7 linked regions of the Kluyveromyces lactis genome follow. The protein of the gene in region 1 binds, or shares a complex with, the protein of each later gene. Links are inferred from orthologs where the notes say so. Each region holds a gene or a part of one and is shown in the gene's direction. Other genes may lie near its edges. The genes, in order: ARP7, RSC4, SFH1, SWI3, NPL6, SWI1 and SNF5.

Evidence for each region.
Region 2: ARP7 (region 1) and RSC4 share a complex: the UniProt entries of both Saccharomyces cerevisiae proteins name them as parts of the two forms of the RSC complex. The link is inferred for Kluyveromyces lactis from reciprocal best matches to the Saccharomyces cerevisiae genes ARP7 and RSC4.
Region 3: ARP7 (region 1) and SFH1 share a complex: the UniProt entries of both Saccharomyces cerevisiae proteins name them as parts of the two forms of the RSC complex. The link is inferred for Kluyveromyces lactis from reciprocal best matches to the Saccharomyces cerevisiae genes ARP7 and SFH1.
Region 4: ARP7 (region 1) and SWI3 share a complex: the UniProt entries of both Saccharomyces cerevisiae proteins name them as parts of the SWI/SNF global transcription activator complex. The link is inferred for Kluyveromyces lactis from reciprocal best matches to the Saccharomyces cerevisiae genes ARP7 and SWI3.
Region 5: ARP7 (region 1) and NPL6 share a complex: the UniProt entries of both Saccharomyces cerevisiae proteins name them as parts of the two forms of the RSC complex. The link is inferred for Kluyveromyces lactis from reciprocal best matches to the Saccharomyces cerevisiae genes ARP7 and NPL6.
Region 6: ARP7 (region 1) and SWI1 share a complex: the UniProt entries of both Saccharomyces cerevisiae proteins name them as parts of the SWI/SNF global transcription activator complex. The link is inferred for Kluyveromyces lactis from reciprocal best matches to the Saccharomyces cerevisiae genes ARP7 and SWI1.
Region 7: ARP7 (region 1) and SNF5 share a complex: the UniProt entries of both Saccharomyces cerevisiae proteins name them as parts of the SWI/SNF global transcription activator complex. The link is inferred for Kluyveromyces lactis from reciprocal best matches to the Saccharomyces cerevisiae genes ARP7 and SNF5.

The regions. Positions count from the first base shown.
Region 1 is NC_006041.1:566,458-570,156, reverse strand, and holds ARP7 (Arp7p), read left to right. Parts: upstream 1-1,531; coding exon 1,532-2,848; downstream 2,849-3,699. Other genes in the region: EAF6 (Eaf6p), read right to left, coding at 734-1,081. UniProt on the Saccharomyces cerevisiae protein: Component of the chromatin structure remodeling complex (RSC), which is involved in transcription regulation and nucleosome positioning. RSC is responsible for the transfer of a histone octamer from a nucleosome core particle to naked DNA.
Region 2 is NC_006037.1:258,872-263,011, forward strand, and holds RSC4 (Rsc4p), read left to right. Parts: upstream 1-1,755; coding exon 1,756-3,435; downstream 3,436-4,140. Other genes in the region: mitochondrial 54S ribosomal protein mL50 MRPL13, read right to left, coding at 1-394; MEH1 (Meh1p), read left to right, coding at 994-1,425; REC8 (Rec8p), read right to left, coding at 3,569-4,140. UniProt on the Saccharomyces cerevisiae protein: Component of the chromatin structure remodeling complex (RSC), which is involved in transcription regulation and nucleosome positioning. RSC is responsible for the transfer of a histone octamer from a nucleosome core particle to naked DNA.
Region 3 is NC_006039.1:1,628,813-1,632,821, reverse strand, and holds SFH1 (Sfh1p), read left to right. Parts: upstream 1-2,016; coding exon 2,017-3,345; downstream 3,346-4,009. Other genes in the region: CORVET complex membrane-binding subunit VPS8, read right to left, coding at 1-31; EFB1 (translation elongation factor 1 subunit beta), read right to left, coding at 381-924, 1,215-1,294; NKP2 (Nkp2p), read left to right, coding at 3,642-4,009. UniProt on the Saccharomyces cerevisiae protein: Component of the chromatin structure-remodeling complex (RSC), which is involved in transcription regulation and nucleosome positioning. RSC is responsible for the transfer of a histone octamer from a nucleosome core particle to naked DNA.
Region 4 is NC_006037.1:580,207-585,208, reverse strand, and holds SWI3 (Swi3p), read left to right. Parts: upstream 1-1,920; coding exon 1,921-4,812; downstream 4,813-5,002. Other genes in the region: KLLA0_A06446g (uncharacterized protein), read right to left, coding at 550-1,416. UniProt on the Saccharomyces cerevisiae protein: Involved in transcriptional activation. Component of the SWI/SNF complex, an ATP-dependent chromatin-remodeling complex, which is required for the positive and negative regulation of gene expression of a large number of genes.
Region 5 is NC_006042.1:1,271,635-1,275,583, reverse strand, and holds NPL6 (Npl6p), read left to right. Parts: upstream 1-1,824; coding exon 1,825-3,087; downstream 3,088-3,949. Other genes in the region: AIP1 (Aip1p), read left to right, coding at 1-1,474; m-AAA protease subunit YTA12, read left to right, coding at 3,506-3,949. UniProt on the Saccharomyces cerevisiae protein: Component of the chromatin structure remodeling complex (RSC), which is involved in transcription regulation and nucleosome positioning. RSC is responsible for the transfer of a histone octamer from a nucleosome core particle to naked DNA.
Region 6 is NC_006040.1:1,041,533-1,046,204, reverse strand, and holds the start of SWI1 (Swi1p), read left to right. Parts: upstream 1-1,677; coding exon 1,678-4,672. Other genes in the region: snoRNP complex protein NOP56, read right to left, coding at 1-1,128. UniProt on the Saccharomyces cerevisiae protein: Involved in transcriptional activation. Component of the SWI/SNF complex, an ATP-dependent chromatin remodeling complex, which is required for the positive and negative regulation of gene expression of a large number of genes.
Region 7 is NC_006041.1:1,665,576-1,670,340, reverse strand, and holds SNF5 (Snf5p), read left to right. Parts: upstream 1-1,616; coding exon 1,617-4,019; downstream 4,020-4,765. Other genes in the region: APM3 (Apm3p), read right to left, coding at 1-1,238; BSD2 (Bsd2p), read left to right, coding at 4,420-4,765. UniProt on the Saccharomyces cerevisiae protein: Involved in transcriptional activation. Component of the SWI/SNF complex, an ATP-dependent chromatin-remodeling complex, which is required for the positive and negative regulation of gene expression of a large number of genes.

The DNA.
Region 1 (3,699 bases):
TTTTTCTTTTTTCGCTACTTTTTCTCACTAAGAGAGACAAAAACAGTTATTTGCTTCAATTGATGTCTAATCCGATTAAACGATCAACAATTGGGTACCTTTTCAAACGCTCCTAATCGACAGCAATTCACGATTCTGTCTTTGTTCTCATTGGTTTGTTTGAATGTGTAATTGCTGCTCTATCTTTTGTTATAATAATATCTAATTCTTTGAAGCTGAAAATTTCAAGGTTTTGGCAGTTTCTGAAAATTGATTGGCTGAGTGATACTCCAATTAACAATCAAGAATGGAGGTTAGAATTCATGCTAACCACACATACATACACCATTACATAGCACCTGAGTCTCATCTAAGACATTGGGACAATTCGGTTGGACTGGAAATCTGTAAACGATTCAATCCTTTGCTTCTACGAGTAGTTTGACGCAAGTTTTATTGATTAAACTGATTCTATGATCGTTGATCTGACGGATGAAAAGAAAAAGAGGCCTCTCAAAAATTAAGGGTAAGTAATTGAAAATACTTTAGGAAGAGAGAATACATAATGTTACAAAGTGATTAATTATCACGAGCATTTAAAGAGTGCTTCAAGAGAAATAGATGCGGGGTAAAATAATACCGTTTTTCTTCCCCCTCCCTTAGTTTCTCTTGTCTCTTGTCTCTTGTCTCTTGTGTCCGGTGTCCTGGACCTGGATATGTCTCAGTGAAGAGGGCAAACAGATAAGCTTCCTGTTCAATCATTGGACTTCGTTTGTTCTTGATGATTGGAAGCAGCCAATTGTTTTGCAAAAAGGTACGAACTTAATGAAAAAATGCGATCATTATCGTCCAATGGCTGGGCATTTGACGAATGTGAGTGGTCAGACAATATCTGCTGCGCAGAACTGCTCTTGTTGAAACCCTGAAACCCGAGCAGAATGTTCCCCATTCTGGAAGATGGTTTCTGTGATAGATACTCTGTTTCTTTATCGTATACCTCTTGCTCTAAACTATTCCACTTGGCTTCGAGTTGTTTCTTCTGTACTAAAGCATCTCGAAGCTTCTTCTTTAGTTTCTCGTATTCTTTCTTTTGTTCGTCCATAGTTGTGTGAGATGAGTGTTAGGTTATGTTAAATCACTTTACCGATAGAGTAGAACACAATCAAAACCAGATTCAAATCCGTTCGATAGCGGATCGTCTGTTTCATCCTTTCTTGTTATTATATATGCAAATTGGATGTTGAAGTAGTGCGTTCTTTCAAACAATATTAACATTGGCGACGAGTCCGGGTAACAGTACTGGAACTCAGTTTGGAATTTGAAATTCGAAGAACCGACGAAAAAAAAGCCAACATGTAAACATCAACATAAACAGTGTTATCAACTCTAGTATCCCGTTTAAGAGCCATAATTTTCCATTGATAGCAGTTATAATCGGCAAAAACAGGTAGCTGTTGAAGAAGTTAATCCTTATCTGCTTTTGAAAATTGAAGATCTTCTCTTTGTTCTGGTGCATATAGAGTGATTACGTTATATCTATTGCAAGTTCAAGATGCCGACCATGAAGAGTGTGGTGATACAGATCTCGCAGACTAGGGTTATTTGTGGGTTCAGCAACCAAGATTTGCCGCAGTTAATTGTACCATCTCAATATTTGGCCTATAAAAGAGATGGATCGGATGTTAAAGTTTTCGGTAAATGGGAAATGATAGAGCATTGCGACGATGAGAGCGCTGAAATATACCAATTGTACGATAAGAACGGACTTCCAAATGATTGGGATATGATGGATGCTCAATGGCAGTACATCTTTCAAAGCCTAGGCATACAGTTCGAAGACTATCCAGTATGTGTTGTCTTACCTTCCGACTTAAACAGTGCGCGTCGTAAGAGATTTATGGAACAACTGTTGGGGTACGGTTTTCCAATGGTCCAACTTTTGAATGAGGCTGTCTGCAACACGTTGAGTCAGGGAAGATCGAGTGGAATTGTGGTGGACATTGGCCACAGTGGAGTGAAAGTGGACGTTGTCATTGATGGTGTTCTTTTCAAACAATACCGCAAGGAGAACAAGATCGGTGGTGCATTCTTAAACTGGCAGATCTGCGATCAATATTTGAAGCAGGATTCGGGCAAATCAACGAAAATCTGGAGGGATGCCACTGAATGGCTACCCAACTTCAAGAATAGCATGCTGCAAGTTTCTCCGATTGAATTGGATGCTAATTATGACGTGGCTCCTCATTACCAACATATGGTGTCACCAATGGACTTGACCAAAAATTTCCTACTCGATAAGAAAACTCTCACCTTCACTAACAAACAGCTATACACCATTGGAGAACTCTTGTTCAAGCCAGTGATACACGTAAGTAACAATGCAAACGGAGATGTAGAAATGGCAGATGTCAATGACATAGAGAAAAAGCCACATCCGGAGAAATTAATTGGGGTCATTGGATTGATCAGAGCATGCATCCAAAGTTTATTAAATGGTGTCAATGCAATGTCCACCGCAGGCAGTAACACTACAGGGTCCTCCACTACGACGGGTAATGCTTCCTCGGGCAACCAAAGCAACAACAACGAGGATACGAACATCCCAACGCACAGCTACACTTCTGAACAACTACAAAGTCTACTGCTTACGAACATTCTAGTGACAGGAAGTACCTCGAACATTCAGGGTTTAGAGCAAAGAATATTGAATGACGTTTCAGTCTCCCTAAACGATCTAACCACAGTGAGGCCTAAGATCCTTTTCAAACAGACCAAATTAGACAGAAACTTCCAATCATGGCAATCTGCAACAACCTTATGCAGACTACCGTTGCGCGAATCGTTACATGCGTGGGAATCTATCGAATGAATGGCGATATCCACCTGCCCTACCTCTCACTCAACTGGCAGTATAAAAATATAATAATGTACGTACCGGATAATCTTCAAACCCAAGAAAACTTAAACCAAATAGTATTAATCCACGTGACCGGATCTGGAATAGTAATTGCGAAGAAGGATAATTTAGAGGCGCTGATCCTTTTCAAGAAAAGGTACCAAAATAGTAAGACAATACCCTAAAAGAAGGCATCCATTCTCTTTCAACAAGCATTTTCGCGTATAAAATGATAGAAAAAGACGCGTTCCGGGAAGATTTGACTCACTCCGAAAAGAAACGTAGTACGTTTCTTTTTTAGAATTTCCTCCTGGAAAAACAAAGGGACACCAGAAAACTCCGTAGAGACGTGGAATAATTATCTAATTATTCAAACACATGTACGCATTTAGATTAGGTATTATCAAGAATCTTCCTTTGAATTGCTAGGATAACGTAAACAGTGTGACATGGAGGGGAGGCTTATCAGAAGGTAAACACAATGTCCCTGATGACCCTTGGGTCATCAGGGACATCTTATCAACAGCAATAACAGGGACTTGTCAAGGATGTCAACAGTGAAATGTAAGGCATTTGTGATTGTCCCTGCAACCCGGTGTTTTCAAATGGGACACTTTATCAGATGGGACACTTAGTTATTCCAGGATAAATGGCCAATTTTTTCTAAGAAGCACCAGTACGAATAGAGGGATTTTGTAAAAGAGACACGAGGACGTGGATAATGTCTGTTTTGTAAATAAGCAATGGGACAGGACGGGACACACAGACACCGAGATTCCTTGCAGACTGAAATACGGACTCTAAATTATGGAGCTTTTTCGATA
Region 2 (4,140 bases), on another chromosome or scaffold:
CACCGAAAGTTTCCTGATAACTTTCCAAAACAACCTGTTCCAACTGTTGTTCGGTACTTAATTTATCCTGAGATAACCACTCGTTGAATGGGACGACATCCAACTTTTGTAAACGAATAAGTTCTTCTCTTCTAGATGAATCGATACCAACAAAATCATCATCTGTTAACTCTAATCTTGTGACCGTTGAGCTCTTCACTACAGTTGTTTTCCCGGACTCGATCTCATTTATAACTTCTTTTGTATCTCTTTGCAATTCTGGCTGTGTTGAAACGACACCAGCATCTTTGTTTTTATTTCTTCTGAACCATGACAAGAAATCAGAGCGCACTGCACTTGAAGTGAATTGTCTTGATGAACGCACTACTGGCACGTACCTAGACGCTAGCATCATTATTCTTTTTTGTTTTCGATTGAAAAATATGCACAGTACCACGCTTTAATGAACTGATATCAACCGCCAAATCAGACAACACTAGAAGATACTTCTGTGCTTAAGCTCATCAAGAACTTGACCGTTCAATTAATGTTCTAATATACAATATCTTCATCAAATTGTAAGTTTATAGTTTTTAGATGAAATTTTTCAATTTTTCAATTGGGCATAGAAAGAATGTAGTCCATATGGGAAGGTTCTAAAGAGAGAAAGAAACAGGATCTGAAGCGATAGATAGTTGCATCATAGTGGTCTTTAACAACGGGTCGAGTTAAGTGCGTACTTCCTGGTTTGCATGATGTTCACTGTATTCAGTAACTAAAAGCTGCTTATCTATGTAGCCCGATAGATAAAGAAGACGGGGTTACCCTATTCAAAACACCCACAACCCACATACTAGAATATGAAATTTATGCTTCCCAGTGCTTTTTATCAACATCTATAGTAAGTGTAGTTCCTTTACCTTAAAGCCACCAAGGCAATGAGATAGTTTACGTTTACTAACGAATTCTAGCATCAGTAGCTACCGAAAATCTGCCTAAAACATTTAAAATATTATGGGAAATGTGCTAAGTTGCTGCTTTCGTCAAGATAGCGACGAAAATGACCCGTTATTGCAGGAACAGGACAGGTACGGCTCACAAGCCCAATTAGATTATAACGAAATGGAACAACGACAGAAGGAAAGAGTGCTTGCAAGAGAACTTGAATTGACCGAAATCGTGAATAATACGAACGATAAGCTTATAGATATAGGTATGATCAGCAACAGCGGTATCGTAGCATCCTCACACGATTTAGGTTCGAGCTATGTGCAAGATCAAAGAGAAATTTTACATGACGTACCCTTAACGGTACTTCCCAGTTCGAAAATAAAACAGGACACAAGGAAGGCGATTCAAGAATTTCACAAAAAGTACTTCGCTAACCTAGTGAAAAACCTTACCGTGGAATATAACAAGCCATTGGTCGCCAATATCGAATCGTGACGCAATAGGTTTCTGCACTATTAGCGCACTCAAAATGGGTTCACCAAATGTTGAAATGCGATATATCACTATATACGTCTGAACATTTCTCAATCTTGTAAAGGTACTTTCACTCTCTTTATTGAAAACATTGAAATATACAAACTTTGTAGAATAGACATATAAAACAATACGCAGTATACGATTTTGGTTTGTCAAAGGAGCCAATTAGGTACGGTTAGAGTAAGTGCCTTGACTGCTGCATATATACTGAAATTTGTTCATTTAAGAAGCCAAGGAAGCGAGGAGGCAAAAAAAAAAGCATAAACAAACTGGAAAGCGCCAAATACTATGGCTGTGAAAAGAAGCAGATCAGAAGATCCCAGTGAGGAACCCGAACAAAAGCATTCAAAACAGAATTATGTACCAAGATATACACCAGGAAAACGTCCTAGAAGCGGCGCTCTACCCAAAGTGGATTATGTGCACCCTTTGGATCCTACAGAAGAGCTCATTGTAGATCTAGATTGGACTATTCCTAAGTTGAATTTGTTCATCGCATTTACTTTGGATAATTTAGTTGAAGCTCACAAGGCTTTATTCAAACACTTTATCAAACTACCCAGTAGGAAGTTTCATCCACAGTACTATTACAAAATTGATCAACCGATCTCTATTAACGAAATTAAAAGCAGGGATTACGAATATAGTGGTGGGGAAACCAAGTTCTTATTGGATTGTGAACTGATCTACAAGAACTGTCTTGCATATAACGATCCAGATTCTCTTATTGTTAAAAATGCGAAACAAGTGGTATATTTCATCAAAAATGAAGTGTTGAAAGTAAAAAATGCTACAAGAAATTTCTTGGTTAACGATGATGTGAAGACACGTTTCATAGCAATCTTTGACACTTTACTCAATGTAACAGATAAACAGATGGCAGAAATCTTAGCAGAAGATGATGACGTAAAATTAGAAGCGGCTTCTAACAACAACTTGGATGACACTTTAAACATATGCCAACCGTTCCTTGAATTGGTAGATAAAGATGAGTATCCAGAATATGAAGAAGTGATTCGTTTACCTAACTCATTGAACTTGGTGAAAAATAACTTAGAACTTGGATACTATCACAAAATCTACGATTTCATTACCGATGTTAATTTGACGTTTCAAAACGCATTGGTTTTCAATGACGAAGATACTACAATATATAGCGATGCATTGAAGCTGATGAAATGTTTTAGTGTATTGATCCAAAGAAGGTTCTTCCCTGAATTAGAAACTGCTAGAGAAAAAGGAGAAATCACGCTGGAATACGACAAAATTGAATATAAACAGTTCGTACAAGAAGAAGAAGAGGAAGAACCAATTCTTTCTGATGATGATGAAACTAACGAAGAATACAATTATATAGAGGGACTAGGAAATGGATATAATCGAGGCCCAATGTCTAGAGATTACCTTTTGGGACCATCAAAAACAAGTAAAACTGCAGACTCGAAAGTTGAAAACAATGAACCAGATAAACCACTTCCCTTGAAATTTAACATCCTTCCTGTTATAAAAAAGCACAACATTGAACCAAAGACAGAGCCAGTGCCTTATAAAGTGATAGAAAAGATTCAGATTTCTTCTTCTAGAAGTTTTTATGAACAATCAATACGACCACTGAAGGGACTGTATCAGAATTCCGACAATATCACTTGGTTCGAATACATATTCGCAGATGGTGCCCTCACCCAAACCAGCCACGAATATGCTATTACACTACCACCAAAACAAAATTCAATTACTGTGGTTTCACAATTAAGCTCTCCTGTTTCAGAAGATAGCCCTGCAGTTTTGATAGCAAACAAGGATAAAGTAAACCCAATACCAGTATTAGATGGGGATAAATTCGACGAAAGTAAAGCAAGATACGATATCAAGTTGGCAGAAGGTCTGAACACTGTTACTTTCTCTGTAAGAGATTCAGAGAACGACCGTTTGGAAACAGCCAAATTCTGGATTAGTGTATTACCTTAGTTAGCTATTATGTAGCTCCAGTGTAATATATGAAGACTATAAATTTACTCAAAAAATGGGGCTTGAAAGAAGAATCACTCTCAAGAGAACCGAACGTCAGTTATTAAAAAAAAAACACTCTCACTCGATCCAGTTAGCAATATACAATGATATCATCTCCATTTAGTACCCTGAACACCTTTTCAGGCTCTACATTATAAAGATCAATTTTCAACTTGCTCGAAGTAGCCAATTGTAAAAGCGACAAAAAGGCATTACAGGCAATTCTTTTAGTAACAGGTATAATCTCTTCATCTTCTTCCTGACTTAACTTACTTGGGATAATATCTTCAAAAAGGAATTTTCTGGAATAACCTGGGAAAGCGGCAGTTCTTTTACCTATGTGTTGTCCTCTCTCAACAATATATTGAAAGAATTTTTCTGTCTGCTTATCATGCACGATAAGCTGCTGTTGATTTTCATTAAATGTCTGTGGAATTGAATCTGATCCTGAAAGGTAGTCCGCAGAACCGCTGTCTCCTCTTATCGCTCCTCTTCTTCGATTTGGATATCCTCTTAAGTTTTCGAGATTGTCTGAATTGGCAGTATAGTTTCTGTTTGTGCTTCTACCAAAACTTGAGGGAGGGATATCAAGTTCCATAAATTGGGGATCATCCATTGGCATGTCCATATACTCAGGATACTCGTTTATTTGTTCAGGTAAGT
Region 3 (4,009 bases), on another chromosome or scaffold:
TATCGTGGCCAGTACTATGAGAGCCATTCATTTGAAACTTGAATCTTGCTGGCAATTGACAAACAGGTAATCGAAAACTGTTTTAACCGAACTTAGACCGTAGGGCTTCTGTTGCCTTTCCTGTTTTTTTTTCTCATATTTTACCTTAAATGCAGCATGATGTTTAATTAATTATCTATATGCATTTATATTATGCACATTTCTATTCTTAAGATGCTCAGAGGCTGTAAACCTAAAAGAAAGATGAACATAACAGGATAAAAGAGACAGCAAGGGTTCGGGTCCAGCAAGAAAGCACGAAGGGGGTCGTTGAGAAATATAGTATATTTATTTATTCATTTATGTAAGGGGAAAAAGGTGAAGAACTTAAATTAGTTTAATTACAACTTTTGCATAGCAGCAACATCAGTAGATTGGACGTGGTCTTCATCTTCTTCGATAAGTTGTTGCAATTCATCAAGAGAAACCTTAGCATCTTCGATGACCATGTTAATTTGCAACTTCTTGATACCGAAACCAATTGGAATCCATTGGTGAGCACCCCAGTTCAAACCATCCATTTCGATGTTCTTAACGTTGGCAACCAATTCTTCCAAATCGGTTTCGTCATCCCATGGCTTAACATCCAAGGTAACGATAGACTTAGCAGCAGCCTTTGGCTTAGCAGCCTTCTTTTCGTTGTATTCAGCGATTCTCTTAGCCTTCAATTGTTCAGCTTCTTCATCGACATCATCGTCAGAACCGAACAAATCGACTTCGTCATCGTCATCTTCTTCTTCAGCAGCAGCTGGTGTAGAAGTAGCAGCTGGCAAGGATTCGAATTGATCAGCCTTGGAAGCAATGTGGTTGAACCATCTAGAGAATTCTGGGTAAGTAGATTGGAAAGCCTTGAAAGCAGAGACGTCAGCTTGAGTAGCAGAGGTACTATATTGATGCAATTGTTAGTTAGTAAAATGGAAAGAACAAAAAAATGAAATTTTTTTGTATGGCAGCTAAGCTTGCTTGCTGAAAAGAGAATTCAATAAAAAAGATAAATCAGAATCGTACTGTCTAGGTACTGTCTCTTTGTCACTCATACCGGGGGTCTTACTTCCCGTCATAAACACGGACCAAAGAATTTGTTCATCATTGAAATAGTAAACTTTGAAGAATTCTCTTATTCAAAAAACTGCTTGATGCCATTGGAAAACCACCACTATAATTATTTCACATACCCTTCAATGTAAGACTTGTCAGCCAAGAAAGTGTTCAACTTTTGCAAGGTTTCGACCTTGGAGAAATCAGAGAAAGACATCGTTAATGGATAGTTAAACCTGGTGAGAGAAGAAACTAGGAAAGAATCAATTCCTCTTCTTCTTCTTACAAGGAACGTTGAATCAAATTGACGAAAAAAAAATACTGAAAAGCTGATGAAAAACTCTAATTCGAAAAGTTCCAATATATATATATATATATTTATGAGATATATGATATGTAAGACGTATGTACTATGGAATTATGGCATCTACGTGTATTCAAAGTGCATGCAATGTGCGGTGGAAGAAAATTTTTTTTCTTCCTTGTAAGTGCGATGAGATAGATACTGGAAAGGCAACAGCAGAAAACAGGGCACGCTGCGGCGTGCCCTGCGACAATTTGAGAAAAACCAAGTTTATTTTCAAAAATCATGGGTCCACCCCTTTGAAAAACGATTTTGCCATAGTAAATGGTTCCAAAACGGTACGGATTTTTCTGAGAAAGTGTTCTTTTTTTCATTTTTTTCAAACTGGATTCCTTTTCTTTTGACAAGTGAAATGTTTACTCAGGGTAACACTTAGATTGTTCAATCAACTCATCACTGTATACGAATATGAAAAAGTATCCATCAATTCAAGAATAGAAGTGCAAGTTCGTGTTTTAGGGCTGGTTGAATAAAGACTATGATAGTGTTACTACAAACAAACGGTTTACTCATTGAAGCGTGCTGATATACAGCAGACAAAGCAACTACGACCTGCCTCCCAAAATTGTATTGATATGTCGCTCGTACCGCAAGCCTACTTGAGTAACTTCCATAATAGAGTGAAGAACGAGGATGTTCCGTTGTTTACTGCTGCGCAGTTATCGAGAAACAAGAGGGGTAAACAGGTGAACTACGCTGAGTTCGATACGGATCTCTTGGATGAATTCATCGACAAGAACGATGAGGATGATTTGGAGGATGATGTGGACGATTCGGATGGTCGTCGTAGGGGTGGGGACTACTATGATCAAGTAGACGGTAGTGATGGAGGTGCTGCGGCTGCTGCCGCCACCGCCGCCGCAGCGGCGGGACTCGGTGAAGATGGTGGCATTGGTGAGGGCACGCCCGGGTCTGGTGACCCCGGTGCTGTCACTGGCGGAACGCCGGCTGCAGATACTGGGCCAGACGGTACAAACGATGGTACTGCAGGAACGTCAAATCCTAGCTCAGAATTGGATCGCATCAAACTAAACGACTTGCCCGACCTTGAAAGTCAGGATGATTCTGCCACTCCGCTAGCTTTGTTGAAATATCCTAGGATTAGGGAAACTTTCGTGCAAAGTAGGATCGCTATCAGTTATAAAGACCTTCTTGGAGATTCTATCCAGGATCCGCAGCAAGTGGATATAGAAAGCCCGATAATGGTTCCAATACGGTTAAACGTTGAATTCAGTGGACACAAGTTAGCAGATTTTTTCATGTGGAATTTGAACGACCATTCGATGACTCCAGAACAGTTTGCTACGATCTTGTGCCAGGATCTTGATTTCCCAGTGCTTTCCAACCCAAATAATTCCCCATATACACAGATTATCTCTATGATTAACGAACAATTACAAGAATATGAAACATTGGCATCTTTACAGGTTCCTGATTTACACGTGATAATAAATTTGACTGCAAATCTCGATTCCAAGCTTTATGATGACACTTTTGAATGGAACCTTAATGACGATTCATTATGCCCAGAACAATTCGCAGAATTGGTGGTACAGGACCTGGGCTTGCAAAGAGAGTTCGTTCCTGCCATTGCACATTCGTTGCATGAATCCTTGCTAAAGGTAAAGAAGGATTGGCTCGAAGGTAATTTGAATTTGGCCCATGTAGAAAATAAGGCAGCTTTCGGTTACACATCAGGTATCCGTCTAGATATAGATACACTTGGCGCCTCATGGTTCCCTAAGGTAGAAGTCCTCTCACAATGGGAAATCGAAAAGCGTGAAATTGAAAAGGAGAGAAACATGAGAAGATTAAAGAGAGAAAGTGCCAAGGTCGATGACGGAAGATCCAGAAGAAGAGGCAAGAGGAGAATGGATGACTTGGAAACTACTTTGAGAATATAAGTGTGTTCTCTTTTCCGGCCAAGCAGTTTAACTTCACAGACGCCCATTAGACAAAGCTGTATAGAAAATAAAGTTCTCCATCTATTCGTGGAGATTTATGTATCATTAATGTATTAATACCACCGTCATCTGTGGTTTTGCACAAATACTCTTCCTTTTCGTCAGACTATTATTTATTTAGTCGCCAAAAATCTCCACAACAAATAGAAAAAGATCAAAGATCATCGCGAATCAGTAATGCGTACGCTGGGAATAATAAAAAGTACATACCCGAAATCCTTATTACTTCAATTACTATGCTCCACGAAGTATTATACAAGCATTTAGACGGCATTTTAGTCTCACGTTTGTATACTGAGGATCAGTTTGTTGATCTATTTTCTAGAACGATACCGGAATCCAACACTGTGATCGCGTCACAGTTATACAAAAGTTATGAAGAGAATGATCAACGGATCATTGAAAAAATAGATAAACTCATCGACAACAAGCTGTCTTTGATAAGAGTTGAGCTCGAACGGGAACAAATTGAAGACTCCATTTCTCTCGAGGAAGTAAATAAACTATTGCATAGCATTGATGATATGTTGCAGCAGCATTTAAATCAATTAAACATTGAACTAGATAATAAAAATACAAAACTTTTGAAATATGCAATGGAACT
Region 4 (5,002 bases), on another chromosome or scaffold:
GCATATTAGTGAATTTTATTGGCCTCCAACCCTTTTTTGTAGGTTAATCATCGTGTTGGTCTTCGCATTCTTTACGGTAATGAAGATTAACATCATGTTAAGACCTTTCTTTGGTTCTACCTCTTTGATGTCAAGTAAAGTCTGATTCCATGTTTCTCTTCTGCACAGTTAGAATATTACAGACCAGTAAGCTTCTCTGAATTGTTTACGTTCAGTGTGGTTATCATTCCTTGAGAGTGCCTGTTGATAGCTTAGTGATCTATCTATTTTGGTCTGTGCTATCCGTGGTACACTTTGTAACGCCTGGATTGAGGAAATGTAGAAACGTCCTTTTTGTTTCATACGGTCAAAATTGGAGTCCGGACTCTCTTTAATCATTAAATTGACTATTATATGAAAATCCATTTGTGGATCAGGTTCATCCGTTATAAAGTAGTCTTTATCTGATACTTGAACCACTTATATCCTATCCTCCACTCCTCCTACCAAGAATCAGTAGTTGTCGGTTGTAAGATTGTTTGGATGACCATTGTAGTTTTTGGGATTTTTCTAGTCCCAGAATTTATTCCGTTGTTTGAAGGATTTATTCCTGTCATCGATTCTCCTATCAGTGTTTTCGAGTGTTCTCTTTTGTTTAGTCATTTTGCTAAACCTCAATTCCTTCTTTAATTCTAGGATTATCTCAGTGGTTTGATTTGTAGGTGGTTTGCTGATGGGATGTATGCTATCAAAACCATGGTAAATCATAATATGTCTGTACACTTTGTCGGCCAGGATAGTATCCAAGTGAGGTAAATTGCATTTTTTGAAAGCTTCAACTAAGTCTGTTAAAGTTTTTATTAAACCCTTCACCTTGTAACGAGGATTTACTTCGAAGAATTTGACTCTATGCTCCAGTAAATAAGGATTGTATTTCTTATGGATATAGTCCATAGCAATGGTGGGAATGTCGGCATAATCCTCACGGAATTTCTCTCGATGAGCTTCCAACCATTCTGGGTTTTCTGGTAGAGATACTACTCTTTCATATACGTCTTGCCACCATGCGACTTGATCTGAATTGATACCGTCGAATAGAGTTGTATTTGAGAAGTCAAACTTATCTTCATACCCACAATAAGTGAAGTATTTATAAATATCAAACAACCATTTTTCTAAGAAGTCTTTTGTTTTGACCTCTCTGATATGAACATCATATTTTGCCTTTTCACACGGGAAAGGACTAAAGATGTTATCTTTTAGGTACCGTGTAATACTCGAACTATATTCATCTGTTACTTCCTTGATTGAGTAATTGTTGAACAGCTTTTTGTTGTTTGAACCTGTGGCGCTACCATATTGAGTCCCGGAAGCTCTCTGTTCAGTGTTACCCTGACATGATGATATTCCTTCGCTCATATTATCTGTATCTGACATCAATTGACTATTTATTATACACCGTTGTGTGGTCTGTATTCCTCCCTCTCCCCACCATCATCTTTCCATTATATAATGCCTAATCATCCTATGAGTTGGCATAAGATTGATTCTTCTCTTCTATTTGTACTTCTCTATCTCGTATATGATAAAAGAGTTGTCACGTAATAGTTCTTTCTATCTCGTATACTTTCGTATAGATGGATCTTAACACTTAACATATCACGTGCACAAAGGTATCATCTATTACCCGGACACAAATGGTCTTCCTTAGGAAAGATGTTTCGTCCTGTTTTAACAATGTTAAAATAAACAATTTCAAGTAAACAGACATTAAGTCAGGTTTGGGCCAGTTCAATCTAAAGCATCGATCAATTTTCGCGTCATTGCTACTACTTTTCAGCTTGTCATCACTCATCAGTTATTCTGACTCCACTTCTTTGTTGACAAGTGAAGGAAAGCAATTCGCCTGAGGAAGATTATAGTTTATACACGGATTTTTTAATGGCAGATGACGAACAACGGGACTCTGTTCTTGAGTCTGCACAAACTCAGAGCTCAGTAGAGAATACCCAAAACACGTCAGAACAACCTGGTTTGATAGACCATACCGAGGATGTAGATATGGGAGGAATTGATGATAACTTGGACATGGACGTTGAACCTAATCTACCTGATGATTTTGGTAACGAATTCTCAGAATCTTTGCCGCAAGACTTCCCTGAAGAGTTCGGCGATGCACCATTGGCCGAAAACCTCCCTGAAGGAATAAACGATAAGCTTTTATCGAATCTGGATAATGAGAACGGTGACGCGGACGATGCAGATCTATTTGAGGAAGAACCCGAGGAACAAAACCCTGCTAATGAAGCATCCGAATCTGATTTGTTGAAATCCCCATCTAAAGAAGACGATACTACCGCAGCAGGTAATGAGGAACAAGAACAAGAACAAGAACAAGAACAGGACGAACAAATGGATAAAGAGAATGACGAAATCGCGTTGCCAGAAACTAAAAAGGAAAGCGATTCGAACGGCGAGGGGAACAATGACCCTGTTGGAAATATAGAAACTGAACAGAGCGAGGTAGAACCTGCACAGAACGAACTGGAAACTGCCAATGACAAACAAGAGCCAGCACCAGAACCAGAATCATTTACTGAAAACCCCAAATTACCAGACGTGAAGGACTTAGGGCAGCCCGATTCTGGTATAGATGCTCCAGTACATACTACAACAGAGACAACAGTTGATGAAGAAATTGATAAAGAGCACAATACTGAAGCAGAAGCAGAACCTGAAGTAGATAGTATTCTTGAACAAGAATCGAGATCAGCTTCTCCTGAATCAAATATAACCGTAAAGCAAGAAAGTAATACTGCTGATCCAAAATTATTTGTACCGCAATCCCATGAAATTGTAATCCCTTCATACTCGAAGTGGTTTAATTTGACCAAAGTTCATGAAATCGAAGTGAAATCTTTACCGGAATTCTTCACTAATAGAATACCTTCAAAGACACCCCAGATGTACGTCAAATATCGTAACTTCATGGTAAACTCTTATAGACTAAATCCAAATGAATACTTCACAGTCACTGCAGCTAGAAGAAACCTTTGTGGAGACGCGGGCGCCCTCTTCAGACTACATAAATTCTTAACCAAATGGGGATTGATCAACTATCAAGTAAATGCTACCAAGAAACCTAAAATGGTTGAACCCCCATTCACTGGTGAATATGAGACGAGATACGATGCTCCGCGTGGATTATTCCCATTCCAATCTTATAAGCCGGCCCTACAACTTCCTGATATGACCCGCTTAAAAAAGATAATGACTCAGTTAGACACCAAACCCTCGGAACCATCATCTTTGAAAAGGACTAGTGATGAAATCTCCAGTGAGCACACTCAAGATTTGTCAAACGGGGGATCCAGTCACGTTAATGGTATCACTAACAAAACGGCTTCGGGTTCTGTGGGACCAGAGAACTACGGCCTGAAGGATGAAAAGGAGTCTCCAGTGAATGCCGACCTTGAGAGAAACGATCGCAAACCCAAAAGACCAAAGATTTCTCAACTGATTGACAAAGATTGGACCCAAGAAGAAATCTATAAACTTATCGAACTTATTAAAGAGCATGGCACCGATTGGTTTAACATTGCCAAAACTCTAGGAACAAAGACTCCGGAGCAATGTATTTTAAGGTTTTTACAATTGCCTATTGAAGATGCATTTTTGATGGATGAAAAAGATCTCGGACTCTTGAAGTTTGGTTCTCATATTCCTTTCAATAAATCTGACAACCCCGTAATGAGTACGTTGGCATTTTTAATAGGGTTAGTCGATCCTAACATTGTTCAGCATTTGACTAAAAGGGCCATTTCTCTTCATGACATTAATGTTAATACGGGTGCTAACACGGAAGCAAAAGACGCAGAAGAAAGGCAGGAAGAACAAAAAGAAGAACAAACAGAGGAATCAAAAGAAGAACAAAAAGAAGAAATAAAAACTGACGCCAGGGAAATTGAGCATACAGAAACGGGAGCTGAAAAATCTGAACCTGCAAATTCAAATGCCGCAGATCACTCCACAGCAACTGAAGGAACTGCTCCAGCAGCAGAACAAGTAGCAAATTCAGATGTAACTGTTGACACTTCAAATGAGAAAAATGCAAATACACCAGAGAATGAAGAAAAAGAAGCAACAGAAGTAAGAGCTGAAAAAACAGGAGAAGAAGGGCTACAAAAAGCGGAAGAAAAGAATAAAGAGGAAGGTAGTCAAGAAGAAGCGATTCCAGTGGAAGAACCTCATCAAGAAGAATCTTTAGAGAATGAAGCATTATCAAACAAGGAAACACCATCGGAAAAACAAGAGCTGCCAGAAGAACAAGCAGTAACGGTCACAAATGCTGAATCTGATGCTAGAATAACAGTGAAGGACGGCACAGAAGTCGCTCTAGCTACCTTGGGGCTACGCTCTCATGTATTCGCTACCAACCAAGAAAAATTGATGAATAGGACGACAAATGATTTAATCAATACTCAACTAACAAAAGTCGATTTGAAGTTGAAGGCTCTTGATACCATGGAAAAATCCTTGGAACTAGAGCGCAAGGCTGTGCATAGGAAGCAAGAAGATGTTTTCATTCAAAGGCTAAGCTTCACCAAGTATGCCAACTCTCTTATGGGAAAATTTGAATCTTTACTGAAGCAAATTCCGGAATCTCCAGAAATCAAACAGCAATTACACGAATTACGTACCATAATTGCTGATCCACCAAAGACAAGTATCACATCCCAATCGGGTAATCTACAAGATTCTGATGATCTAGACTCCGCCAACAAACCAATATCGATTGAGTCACCGCAGTTATATCGTTATTGGTCAGGTTAATAATATAGACAATATTCATGTATTATATAGCCTCGTAACATTATATTAATTTAAACTATTGAAACAACACAAAAAGTCAAGCCTCTCCTTGTCCAAATGCAACATCTTCGTTGGAGTAAATCCTACTTGTTTTTTCCTTTGTACCTTGTCTTCAGGAATTATGTCCGTATGCTATATTGTCTTTAAAATA
Region 5 (3,949 bases), on another chromosome or scaffold:
TGAAGGTCGTGATAGGTTTGGTGCGTTTGTCTCTTGGGACTCGGGCAACTCGTTAGGTGAAGTCTCGGGTCACTCTCAAAGAGTCAATGCAGTTCATTTCAAGCAAAGCAGACCAATGAGAGCTTTCAGTGTCAGTGATGATGGTTCTGTTGTGTTTTACCAGGGTCCACCTTTCAAGTTTGCAAGCAGTGATAGAACGCATCACGGCCAAGGTAAATTCGTTAGAGACGTCAAGTTCTCTCCAGGTGCAGGGAAATATGCTGTGTCTGTCGGTAGCGATCGTAAGATATGTTGCTTTGATGGTAAGACTGGTGAATTTATCAAATACATTGAGTCTGAAAAGGCTCCAATTGGCGGTGGTTTGTTTGCTGTCGCATGGTTAGACGATGGTGAAGAGTCTTCTAGAGTTGTTACCGTGGGTGCTGATTGCACTGCAAGGTTGTGGGATGTGTCGTTGGATGATCCATTCCAACAGTCTTGGAAATTAGGTGCAGATGTTTCGAATCAAATTGTCGGTGTTGTTGTCACTAAGGATAACTCCATCGTAACATTGACGCTTGATGGGACCTTGAGCATTTTGTCTCTAAATGATCATACCATCAAATTCATTCATGGTCACAACAAGGGGATTACTTCTTTGGCGGTAAACCCATTAGTGTCTGGGTCATACGATGGTAGAGTTGTTACCTGGAATTCAGAAGGTGACGAAGTCAATGCTATTAGCCATGATATTCATGGTAATCTCGTATTGGCCATCGATAACTCTGATAACGAGGTATCGAGTGTTTCTTGGGACGAAACGTTGAAGAATTTCATCGATGGTGAAAAAGCGCTTGCTGAAACGAAGTACCAATTCTCAGAGCAACCTAAATGTGCGGTTTTCTCTCATAACACTTTGGCTGTTGCTACAAACACTAACGAATTGTTGATCATCGATAACAAGAGTGGGCTATTATCGAAATCGATAACTCTAGATAAACCTGTCGGGGCCCTCGCATTGGGAACTACTTTCGTGGCAGTGGCATACGAACAAACCAACTCCGTGCAGCTATTCAAAATTTCTGACCTATCAGATGCATTCACGTTGGCCACTCCATTACGTGCCACTCCATCTGCTCTTTCCTTCTCTCCATCACAAAAGTACTTGGCTGCCGGTGACGTGTCCGGTAAGATTATCCTATATGATCTTGACACGAAGGACGTCAAGACCTCGAGATGGTCATTCCACACAAGCAGAATTACATCCATTGACTGGAGACCTTCTGCAAATGATGATGATTTGGAGGAAGATTATGTTGTCACTGGCTCTCTGGACACCAACATCTTCATCTACTCTGTTAACAAACCTATGAAAGTGATAAAAAGATTAAACGCACAAAAGGACGGTGTGTCCAGTGTACTATGGGAAAACGATTCCACTATCGTCAGCGCCGGTGTGGACGCCTGTATCAAGAGGTGGACCGTCGAGTTTTGAATGAGACACATTTTTTACCAGTAACACATAAAAGTATTTAACAGTTAGTTAACGTACGAAATATAAGACAATGAATAACAATAGGAGGATCAGATGTTGCATCAAGGCCCCCCCCCCCAGAAATATCTAGAGCTTCTAGTAAAGCCGTTGAAGTTGTTCTTTCTTCTTTATCATCTCATACGTTTTGATGTTTCTCTTGAACATTGAACAGATTCCTGCCTCTCAAAGCTTATATATAAACAAACAAGATCAACAAAGCTCGGTTGAAAGCGGATATACGCATAACATTCCTTAGTAATTCTGTATTTGGAATCACCAATCAAGAAGCTTGAGTTTCTCCTATATCAGATATGGCAGCAGCAGGAAGAGGCAGGAAGAGCTCGAGGGTTTCTCGCTCAGCTAACAAAGCAACCAGCTATAAAATCGATACAGACGAGTTAGACATTGAAGATGATGAAAAGGATCAAGAGTACCCTGGACCAGCCAATGATGATGATTACGATGATGACCCAGATGCTGATATCGAAAACGAGGGTAAACCATCTCGTTCCAAGCGCAAGGCCGCTTCGAGCACACCTGTTCCAGTGGTACTAGCGACAAGAGGAAGGCCTTCAAAGAGGAAAAGAGAAGAAGATTTGAACGATCCCTTAAGACAGAAACTACCGTACCCAGTGGACGAAAACGGGTCTCCATACCCAATTGTGAATGACGAGTATTCATTACCTGAGGATCCAGAGGGTGAAACCAAGATCACCAAGAATGGTGATCTTCTAGAGGGAAGACAATTTGTAGTCAGAACTTTCACGGTACCTTCCAGAGGTGAAGTTAAATACATGCTTTCTACTGAGCCAGCCCGTGCCGTTGGGTTCAGAGACTCATACTTGTTCTTCCAGTACCATCCAAACCTATACAAATTGATTATCTCGCAATCAGAGAGAGACGATCTCATCAAAAATGGTGTATTGCCCTATTCGTACAGAAACAGAATCATTGCGCTAGTTACTGCAAGGAGTGTGTTCCGAGAATTCGGAGCCAAGGTTGTTGTAGATGGTAAAAACATCACGGATGATTATTACGCCGGTAAGCTTCGTGCATCCGGGAAGGTGAAAGAGGGTACCCCAGCAAGAGAAACATCACACACAAGTGTCACTGGAAGAAATACCCTTGGAATAGACATTCCGCAACAATTATCCGTCAACCCATCCAAAAATGCAGTAGAATTCTTTGACAAGAGAAATCACAACATCCCGGCAACAAGCAATATCTCATCTACGAACTGGCTCTATCATCATGCTGCTGCATGCAGTAGATTCAACAGTGATCTTTTCTACGATAGAGAACGCATTCTTCTCATCGAAAACCTCGGACTAAGAGATACGTACACGAACGTCTTACATATACCACAATCCACACAATCGACGAGAGTGATATCAGTGAAGAAAGTGAAAGGAAACACAAGCCAAGTTATGTACGAAACAAGAATCAAAGCTCTTGACCTAGCAAGACCTTGCACCGGTCTTTCTGACGTCCCTACATCGATGTACGAAGACATCTTGGACGAAGATATAGTCGCTGCTATAGAAGAACAAAAGAGATTCGAAACAAGCCTATAACATAGCTGAACTGACCTCCCATGTATACGTGTATATCTCAACATACGTAATAAGAGTGTATTATACTAAGTGGCCGGGTAACGATATGTCCTTGCTCTACCAAAAATGAATTTGGGCTTTTCAACCAGAACAACCCCATAAGGTGAACAGACAAGGCCATTTGCCACCGATAAAAGGAGCGTTAGCAGTTACATTTGCAATCTACAGTGGTTGCATTGTGAATTTAAGACCCTATAGTAGTGTAAAATAGCCAGGTGTTTGTTGAAACGGCTGTTTTTGTCTCGGTTTGTTTCGGTGTTAACAAAGATTTTCCACTGGTTTTAAATTCGAAAAGTCCTGTTAGGTAAACGGTATAGCAATCAGACTCGGCTAACCGTAGCAGCGACGTGGTGGTTTTATTACATTGAAGTGACTTGCAATGTTCCATTTAATAAGGCCGGTATCTAGGCTTGGCGTAAAGTCTGTGGCCAGTAGGGCGTTGTACAAAGTTCCAAAGGGGCGTTCGCTGATATTGTTACGAAACGACGTATGCCGTACGTTCCATTCCGGTAAGCTCAACTTGATGCAGAATCGGTTTGAAAAGGAGCCTACGGATGAAGACGTTGATAAAGTCAGGAAAGAAGTTAGAAAGTTTATCGATGATTTGAACAAAGATCAGAAACTCGATATGGAAGAGCGTAAGAAGAAGATTGAAGAGCAATTACAGAGGTTGGAGCTTGCTGTGAAGAGGCAGCAGGAAAAAGAAGATGCCCAAGATAAAGCGAATGATCCTTTCCATCTAGAGCGCGAGAAGAGAGAATTTGAAGAATCGGCGAAGAAGCATGATCCCAAGAATGATCCCAAGAATGAGTCTAAGAAGAGT
Region 6 (4,672 bases), on another chromosome or scaffold:
TCTAGAGATTCTACCCTTGTTCTTAGCACTAGCTTTAGCGATGAAACCACTGTGGTAAATCAAACCATACTTTGGTGTGTTACCTTTAGTCTTCAAAGCTCTGAACAATGCCTTTTCAGCACCCAAGATTTGGACAGTAGAGGCAGCTTGCTTAGAAAGATTGGTCAAAGAACCAGAATGAGAGATCAATCTAGCACCGATAACTTCACCGATCAATTCGGACAAGTTTGGAGCCACAGTGTGCATCTTCTCACATAGGTAATCGTATAATTGTTTCCTGTATTCAACAAGGGAGACAACTCTCTTAGCGAAGATGGTAACGTTTTCCATATCAGTTTCAGAAAGATCTTGACCCATAGAGATACGAGCGTTATCGATCACTCTTTCACTGATACCAGCATCGTTATCCAAAATTTCCGATAAATCGTGCAAGGATTCTTCGTTCAAAGATGCCTTATCCTTAATGAATAGAACGAGTTTAGCAAACTTGTAATTGTCTGGGACTAACTTTGCCAACTCTGGGAAATGCCAACCGTACCATTCCTTCACTCTCATGGCAAAAGTGTTGATATCCTTATCCAATTGATCCAAGAGAGCAATGGCTTGAATGATATGGTTATCGTTTTTCTGAACAGAGAACTTAACCTTAGCACGAGAGTAAGCATGACCCAAACCAAGTTGAGCTCTTTCCAAATCACCAGGTTGTAAATCTTTCAATAATTTGTCACCGTGTAATCTAACACCACGAATCAAATCCTGAGCTAACTCATTAGAAATACAATCAACAAATGGAAAAACTTCTTTAATGGATGGACCTAAGTTCTTATCAGAAATAGCCAAAGTAACAGTCTTCTTAGAAGAACCCTTTGGTAAATTTAAATCCAACAAAGCTTTCAAATGTTCAGAGACTAAACCTTCAGAAATATCATTAGCATTTTCCAAAGCTTGAGCAGCACCTTTGAAAGGAGCAAAAGAAACCAACTCAACTAACTTAGTGAAAGAGCCGAAATCATTGATCTGTTGCTGGACTTCCTTCAAACGAGATCCGATATCATCCTGTTGCAATTTCACTTTGAAGATACCATACCCGGTAGGTTCTTCGAACAAAAGATATTCAATAGGAGCCATTATTTAATTCTCTGATCAATAAAGTTTCCTCGCTACCGTAAAATCTCTTTGATCTGGACTCTTCAACACACACTAACTTCGGAATGAATGAACAAAACTCAAGATAATACAGACAAGTATTAATTGAAATATCGCTGTGCACATAACACAATATACAATATATTCACTGGTCAGAAAGCTCATCTCTCTTTATTGGCTTCGAAATGAAAATTTTCCAAACAAAAAAAAAAGAGCGATGAGCTTGAAAAAGAAAAGCAGAATGGGAAATATATTTTACTTACCCGGCCGCGGCCGGGTAAGTTATACACGTGATCGAATGTATTACCCGGATATAGAATAATTGACAAAATCACGTGACCTGGAATTTTCTTGTCTTTCCAAAAACAAAACAACGAAAGGAAACTCGAAATTGTATTCAATGAATTCAATTGACACTTGACTATCACTACTTTCAGAATGAATATAATTCCCTTGTTTTAGGTTTTATTTAGGCGTGATTTCTCTCCCCTGATATCAAGGGTCAAACGGTAACTTTATTGGTACATACGGATGGACGATCAGTTTTTGTTCCCGGACGAGAGTGATCCAATGAATTCTGGCGATGGCCAGCTTTTCGGTCAAGGAGGTTCGAACGGTGATGAGTACCTTTCCTTCCTTGATAACTCAGGCGCACCCAACCAGCAAGGTATACCTGATAGTAATTTAGGGCCGATGGAAGATGTTAACGCAGGCGTAACGCCCCAGGCTATATTGGCTAGAAATTCATTCTCAACTGTCAATTCACCTCCGTCGATGAAGAACGGTGGAGTCTCTATCTCTCCACAATCCATGTTTTCTCCAGCCGCAGGACCAATTCCTATGAATACAGCCAATGTAGCACCGACGCAGTCTCCCGCCGGCACTACTTCTTTACAGCAGATGTTATCGCAGCGTGGAACGCCGCAAAATGTGCCAAGTGGATCCCCTACAATGGCCGATGAGTCTTTAGCTCAGGCGAGTGCTAGTAGACAGAGCCCTCAGTATATGGATAGAGCCGCAATAATTGCTGCGCATCAACAGAGGCAACAGCAACAGCAACAAAAGCTACAGATGTTGCAACAACAGCAGGCATTCAACCAATTACAGCAGCAGAAACTAAGACAACAGCAGCAACAAGCACAGGCTCAAGCGCAGGCACAGGCTCAAGCACAAGCTCAAGCTCAAGCCCAAGCACAAGCACAAGCACAGGCTCAAGCTCAAGCCCAAGCTCAAGCGCACATACAAGCACAAGCGCAAGCACAGGCGAGAATGCAACAACATGCGCCTCAAGTACAGAATCAGTCTAATAACCAAAGAAACGTTCTACAAAATCTAGATCCAGCCATTCAACGGAAAGTCGGTCAGGAATTAAACACCAAACAGTTTGAACTATTTAGAAAATCATTTTTGGAACATTGCAGGAGAAAGAATCAACCCGCAGATATTGCTCAAATGATTAATGGTACCCAGGTCAGTTTCTTCATCTTATACATGTATGTTCAGAAGCTTAACGGAGGAGAAAACGTCACTAAAGCACAACAATGGCACATATTGGCGAAAAAGATGAATATACAAGGACCAAATGCTGGAGAAGAATTGGCAAAGACGTACTACAGATATTTACTACCGTACGAAAAGTACTTGATGACCCCAGAAGGTATTAAAGAAACTCAAACCAATCGTATCATGTTACAGCAATTACTTCAGGACATTATAAGAAACATTAGAACGAATACACCGCAGTTCCAACCGCAGGTGCAAAATCAGTCTTTTATGCAGGGTCAAAACGTAATACAACCGGATTTACAAATGAAGCAACAACAGATTCCTAAGGCTCAAGGCAAAACAAAGAACACCGTCCCAAAACAAGCAAAACCTAAACAGCCTAAGAAGCCAAGAGTGAAGAAGAAGACTAAGAAAGAACTAGAACAGGAAAGAAAACAAATGGAAGAGCTGCAAAAGCGTCAACAACAAGAAGCGGAGCAACAACAGCAGCAGCAAAAGCTCATATTCGAACAACAATTGAAGAAACAACAGGAAATTATTTTGAAACGTCGTGAAGAGCAAATTAAGAAGCTTCCGAAGGTGTATAAGAGAACGATGGCCAGGCATTATAGTCCCACCACAAGAGCCATCACCACGCAAAATGGGTATGATATTTCAAAGATTTCAGCTCTTGGTGAGATGATACATAATTTTAAACCCATCTTCCTCTTTGCGCCGGAGTTTGGTGTCGTCAATATCAATGCAATTGCAATGCAGTTACAAAGTTCTAATAACCCGGAAGTCAATACCGCACTAAACTCATTATTAGTTATTAGCTCCGATAACACTTTATCAATTCCACTCGATAAATGTCGTGAGCTTTTGGATAACCTCTGTATCTTGGCGTGTCAGTTACTGCATAAACTATTGAAGAAGGATTATTCAAGGATATCAGGGTCTTATACTGAATATGATGAACAGCAGTGGATTAATACGCCTCCCAAACATTCGGATTCCTCTGATACTCATATTGATAAAATTTTCAAGGAAAGCGTCAAAAAATCTGGAGAAGATCAATCTGAATATACAGTAAAGGTAGACTCTTTAACTGGTATAGATTTTTCTCAACTTCCGATCACACCGACGGAACCAGAAATAGAAGTCGATGCGACATTACCTGAAGTCTCACTGGAGAAGGACGAAGATGAGAATGATATTGAATACTTACCTGATTTGTTGAAAGACGAAAATCTCGATGAAATCAAAAAGCTACATTTCATTTCATATATGGATTCTCTAACTAAAGTCAAAACGGAAGTCGGATCCATCTTTAGCAAGTGTCACCGTTCTGGAGCAGAGGATCCGCACTTGTTGATTGTTGACCAATTGACAACAATTTCAATGATCTTGAGAAATCTTTCATTTAACGAACAGAATTCACAGGTAATGGCTAATAATTACCACATGGAAAAATATATTGCAGATACTCTTTGGATGGTTTTCATTCATAGAGATGAGTTTATTTTTGAGCGCAGGGTTTTAAACTTCAAGAAGGATTTGATTTTTATTCTATCTAATATTACACATATGTTGAAAATTGAATCAACAGTAACTTGTTTGTTAATCATAATGCTAGCGTTGAGCTTCGCTGATCCGAAAGATCATATTCAAGAGAATAGCGTCTTGACATATGCAGAGTACACCATGAATGTTGAAAAATGTCAGACATACGGTGCGGACGTCTTGGCTAAACTTCTTTCTCTTGGTTACCCAAATAGAGCACATTTTAAGTCAGTATTAACTGGTGTTTTCACTGAAGAAAATGACGATGATGACATATGCCAGCAGGTTTTAGATTTGTATAACGGGGACGAAAAATTCAAGTTGTTTAATGACATTTTCTCTTTTATCATTTCCACCATCCCCTTCCAACAAATCAATAAAATCCCTAATCTGATTGAAGACTCACTTCCATCTATTTTACAAGCTCTGACAGCTGCTGTTTGCATTGTAAAGTTTATCGATGCTCAAGAGGAGCACT
Region 7 (4,765 bases), about 1.1 Mb from region 1:
AGTACAGCCATTGAACCGCATACCATGTTTTTGTCCAAATGCCAATTAACTTCGCCACGAGTCATATTTGTTTCGACACCGCCGTGAGTGTTTCTCATGACACGTACTATTCCCTTAAAATTTCTATTCATCCTGATAGTCATGCTCATGTTTTCTATTTCTTTCACCGTCGTGCTCATTCCAACGGTGACGCGGACCTCAAATTCGTCAAGTCTTTTACCTAAACTGCTTTGTAAATTTACGTCTATAATGCCGAGGTTTGAGTCTCTTTTCACCAACGGTAGGGTATATTGACAGAGCCTAGTACGTCCATCAGGAGGTACAAACGTTAGCTTAGTGAATTTCCCAGCGATTAAATCATTTATGCTGTTCGCCTTATCCTCTAAGATGCATCTATGGAAAGTCGTGTTTAAGTGGCTAAGCTTGTGGTCTAAGAGCCCAAGTTTCATCTCAACCAATGGCTGTCCGCTGAGATGGTTGTTTAAGTCGATACAACCCTTGATATGTCCGGTTAACAGTTTCCCCTTTTCCACAATAGCGTTAATTTCCTCACTCATATCGATGAATATTTCGTTATTAGCATAGTTGATGCCGCTCATTCTCCATGGGACACCAGATTCATCAACGGAATGATCAACTAACGAGGAGCCAGGAGACCCAACGTGGAACGAGGAAACGGATGAAGCGGATGAAGATGGATATCTACTGCCACTAAACCTTGATTTTTCCGGACCATTCTTAAACATTGACCCGTCCGGTTGTTGTAAGGTCTTGGTAATTGTATTGGTTGTCGTCTTCAACAATTTCGATAAATCGTTTCTACTTGGGACCATTGCCTTTAAACGGTTCGAGTCTGTTATCACCGGTTGCCCAGCATCAAGGATACAATGGAAAAGCATCGATAATCGATCGAGGTTATTATTTATCTTCTGCTTCGTTAATTGGTCCTTATCGAAATATTGTAACAACAGTAAATCTATCTCTTCTAACAAAGATACCACGGAAACTGTGGACTCTGAACACGAAATTAAACACCAATAAACAACTGGATTCAGCAAAGAAACGTGTCTGCAAAGCTTCAACTCAGAATTTATCTCATTGCAGTATTTAGACTCCCATGATTCGTCTTTACCTTGTAGTTTAACAACTAGTTGCCGAAAAGTAGGGCACTCTGCTACTGTTGAGTACTGGAATAGCGTTTCCTGGCACCTATCATTGACATATATGCTAACAATCATTGTAGCCAATTGCTTAAGTTCACTATGATAACCAACTATATGCGGATAACCCGCTGTATCCTGTTTGCTTGCCTTAATTTTTCATTAGGTTGTTCCATCTCGTACTTCTCTTAATCGTTAATCAAAATTTCGTGAATTTCATGAATTCAAAGAACGAAAGAACAAGACCAACAACAAACTTTAAAGATCAACAAGAAATTCTTGTTTTTAAGGGAACTGAACACCTTTCAGGTAGGCTTCAGAAAGGGTATATTTGACAGCATTTGGTTGAGAATTATCGCAAGAAAGAATATACTAGTTTCCTTCTGTGTTTCCCTTTCTGTCTGCAATTGAAAACACTAGTTGCAGTTTTGTTTCTCTATATAAGCTGAAAGGAGAATGTCAAACCCACCAATGAATCCTGGCAATGCGAACCCTTTGAGTAACATAGGGACGCCTTCCTTTTCGCTTTCGCAGGTTCCACAACATATCCTACAATCCTTGACGCCAGCGCAGTTGCAGATGATTCAGCAGAAACATCAACAGTTGTTATTGCAGAGACAAAGACAAGCACAGCAGATGCAGCAAGAACAGGTTTCTTCTCCCGGTAATATGAACCAATTGGATGCTGCTCAGCGTGCGCAGCTAATGAAGCTCAAACAACAACAAATGCAGAGATCTCAGACGCAGCAGCAACAGGAGCAACGAGCTCAGCAGGTGCAACAAGCCCAGCAATTGCAACAACAGCAGGTTCAACAGCAACAGCAGCAGTCTCCTCCCCAATCTCAACAACGAACTTCTTTGAATCTTCCTCCACAAATTGCACAACTATCACCGGCATTGCAAATGCAATGGCTTCAGTCCATCAAACAACAGGCTATTGCGAGAAATAACCAGAACGCTCTTCTGATGATCACTCAGCTTGAAGTCAAATTACAGCAACAACATAGACAGCAACAGCAACAGCAACAACAGCCTGTACCACCACAACAACCTGTTCAGCAGCAACAACATCAATCCCCGCCACGCAACATTATTCCTCCTAACCAACCGCAGCTTCAACAGCCTCAACCTCAGAAACCTCGTATACCACTTCAGCAACAAATGGGGAATCCACAACAAATGATTGGAGGTCAACCTATAACTCAGAATATACCAGTTATGAACAGTAATCAATCGATGGTTCCTTCGTCACAACAGCCACAATCACAACCACCACAACCACCACAACGACAACCACCACAACGACAACAACAACAACAAGTCCCAGTTTCAGTACCACAGCCACCTCAACCATCACAAGCTGCAATACTACAGCAAGTGCTTCAGAAGTTTCAGAAACAACTTCCTGATATTCCCAAATTCCAAACTATTCTTCAAGACCCACCTGAGACTCCATTACCTCATACTAGGTTATGGTCAGAGAAAGAAAGAGCTGATAACGAGCCTGTGAGTTTTGATACAAGATTATATGAACATGTTATTGAACGGGATTTGTTGGATAAGGACAACTTGTTGGCGGACACTAATGGATTGGAACCTATTTCCAAATTCGGATTCAGTCAGAGGGAGGTAATATTGAGATTACAGCAAGATCTTGATTATTACAAAGAATTGAGGAACAGTCGAATGCAATCCATTACCAACACAACTCAAGGACATAAATCTAAGAGTATATGGGGTGACGGTTATTCTGGATATGGAAATGGCTTCAGTAACGATCTCACAAGGATTCAAGTCGATGACACTTATGAAATGCACTTGGACGAAATATATGAATGGACAATGAATCAAACAGGGGAGGAACTAGTACCTGTTAGATTAGAGTTTGATGCAGAAAAGGATAAATTTACTTTGAGGGACACATTCGTATGGAACAGATCAGACACGCTACTGTCAATCAACGAATTTGTGAAAACAACGCTGAAGGATTATAGGCTCAAAGTCACCACGGAGATGTATCAACAGATTGTGAATAGTATCAAAGAACAACTTCAAGAATATACTCCAAATCCTTTTGAAAATGTGCAGAGGTTCGGGGGCGATGATTTCAGAATAAAAATCAACCTAGATATTGTCGTTGGACAACATCAATTGATAGATACCGTTGAATGGGATGTGTCAAATCCAGATAATTGTCCAGAATCGTTCGCGGAGTGTTTATGCGAAGAACTATCCCTTCCGGGTGAATTCTTAACAGCAATTGCACATTGCATTAGAGAACAAGTTCACATGTATCACAAGTCATTATATATGGTTGGTTACAAATTTGACGGTAGCCCCGTTGAAGAAGACGATATCAGAACAAGATTCTTGCCTGTACTCACCTTAGCAGACGTAATGAGACCACAAAAGGATACGTTTTTATACACACCTAACTTATTACAGATATCTCCCGCAGAACTAGAACGTTTGGTTAAGGATAAGGACAGAGACACTAGAAGGAAACGTAGACAAGTTCGTTTCAATAGAAGAGGCAATACAGAAAATCACCCATCGTCCGGAAGTACACCGCAACTACCCCATGATGCAGAACTTCCTGATCTTGGGGATATCCCAAAAACGTGCCGTCAACTACTTCCAACAACAACTTTGCCTGGAGGTATTGATGTTGGTCCAAGTACGTTATCGTTCCAGCCATCAACTAGAGTCGAATATTTAGACAGAGCTAAAGCAACTCCAAAACAAGAATTCCAACAGGAAGTAAGAAACTCATCAGCATGCAGAGTTATTATGCACGACGTTGGGAAATCTTTACTCGTCACTATAAAGCTACCAAAGGCGAAGACAACCATTCAATGAGTAATTCGCTATATATATATATATGTACATATGTATTTATGTGGTACCACCTGTAACAATTTTAAGAAATACTATGATAAATAAGCTAGAAGAAAGAGCACTGAAGATAGCTATGAGAGACCGAACGCCGATGATCGCGGGCTTACTCGAGGGTCTTGACACGCACCTCTACGTATATCGATATTTATGTGTGCCTGTTTCATTCTTTATGGTGTAAGCCTCTAAATTTCATAAACAGCTCAAAACCAAAAAATATATTTAGTAATGGAAACGTTAACATTTGAACGAACCAACCCTTTTAAGAAACTTGGTATGCAGAGGCCACAAACTCATCAAAGCAGCCATATTTGAGTGTTACTCGAGGGTAGTAGAGTTTACTGAGATTATCTACGCGGCGAGTATGTCTGAGCATTCGGAATTCGTAGCCGGAAGTGGCGTTGGCAGGAGCCAAGATGAAGTCGGTGGATCTTCCTCAGTGACTTTGTCTCCTTCACAATCGCAGTCGCAGCTGCAAACACAGCCAGAAACCGAATCTTCAAGAGCTGATGATGTGGAAACAGGGACAACTTCGTCGTCTTCTAGACTGCACCAGATGAATGGGCAGTTCCAACAACATTTGAACTTTGTTGCCCGAAAGTTCAATATATTAGATAGACTGTTTAGAGGCGGCAGTTCAAGCGAGCAAGCGATGAGGTTACAAGTCGGGGCGAGTTCTGATGGTGTATTCAGTAATCTTATGGCGAAAC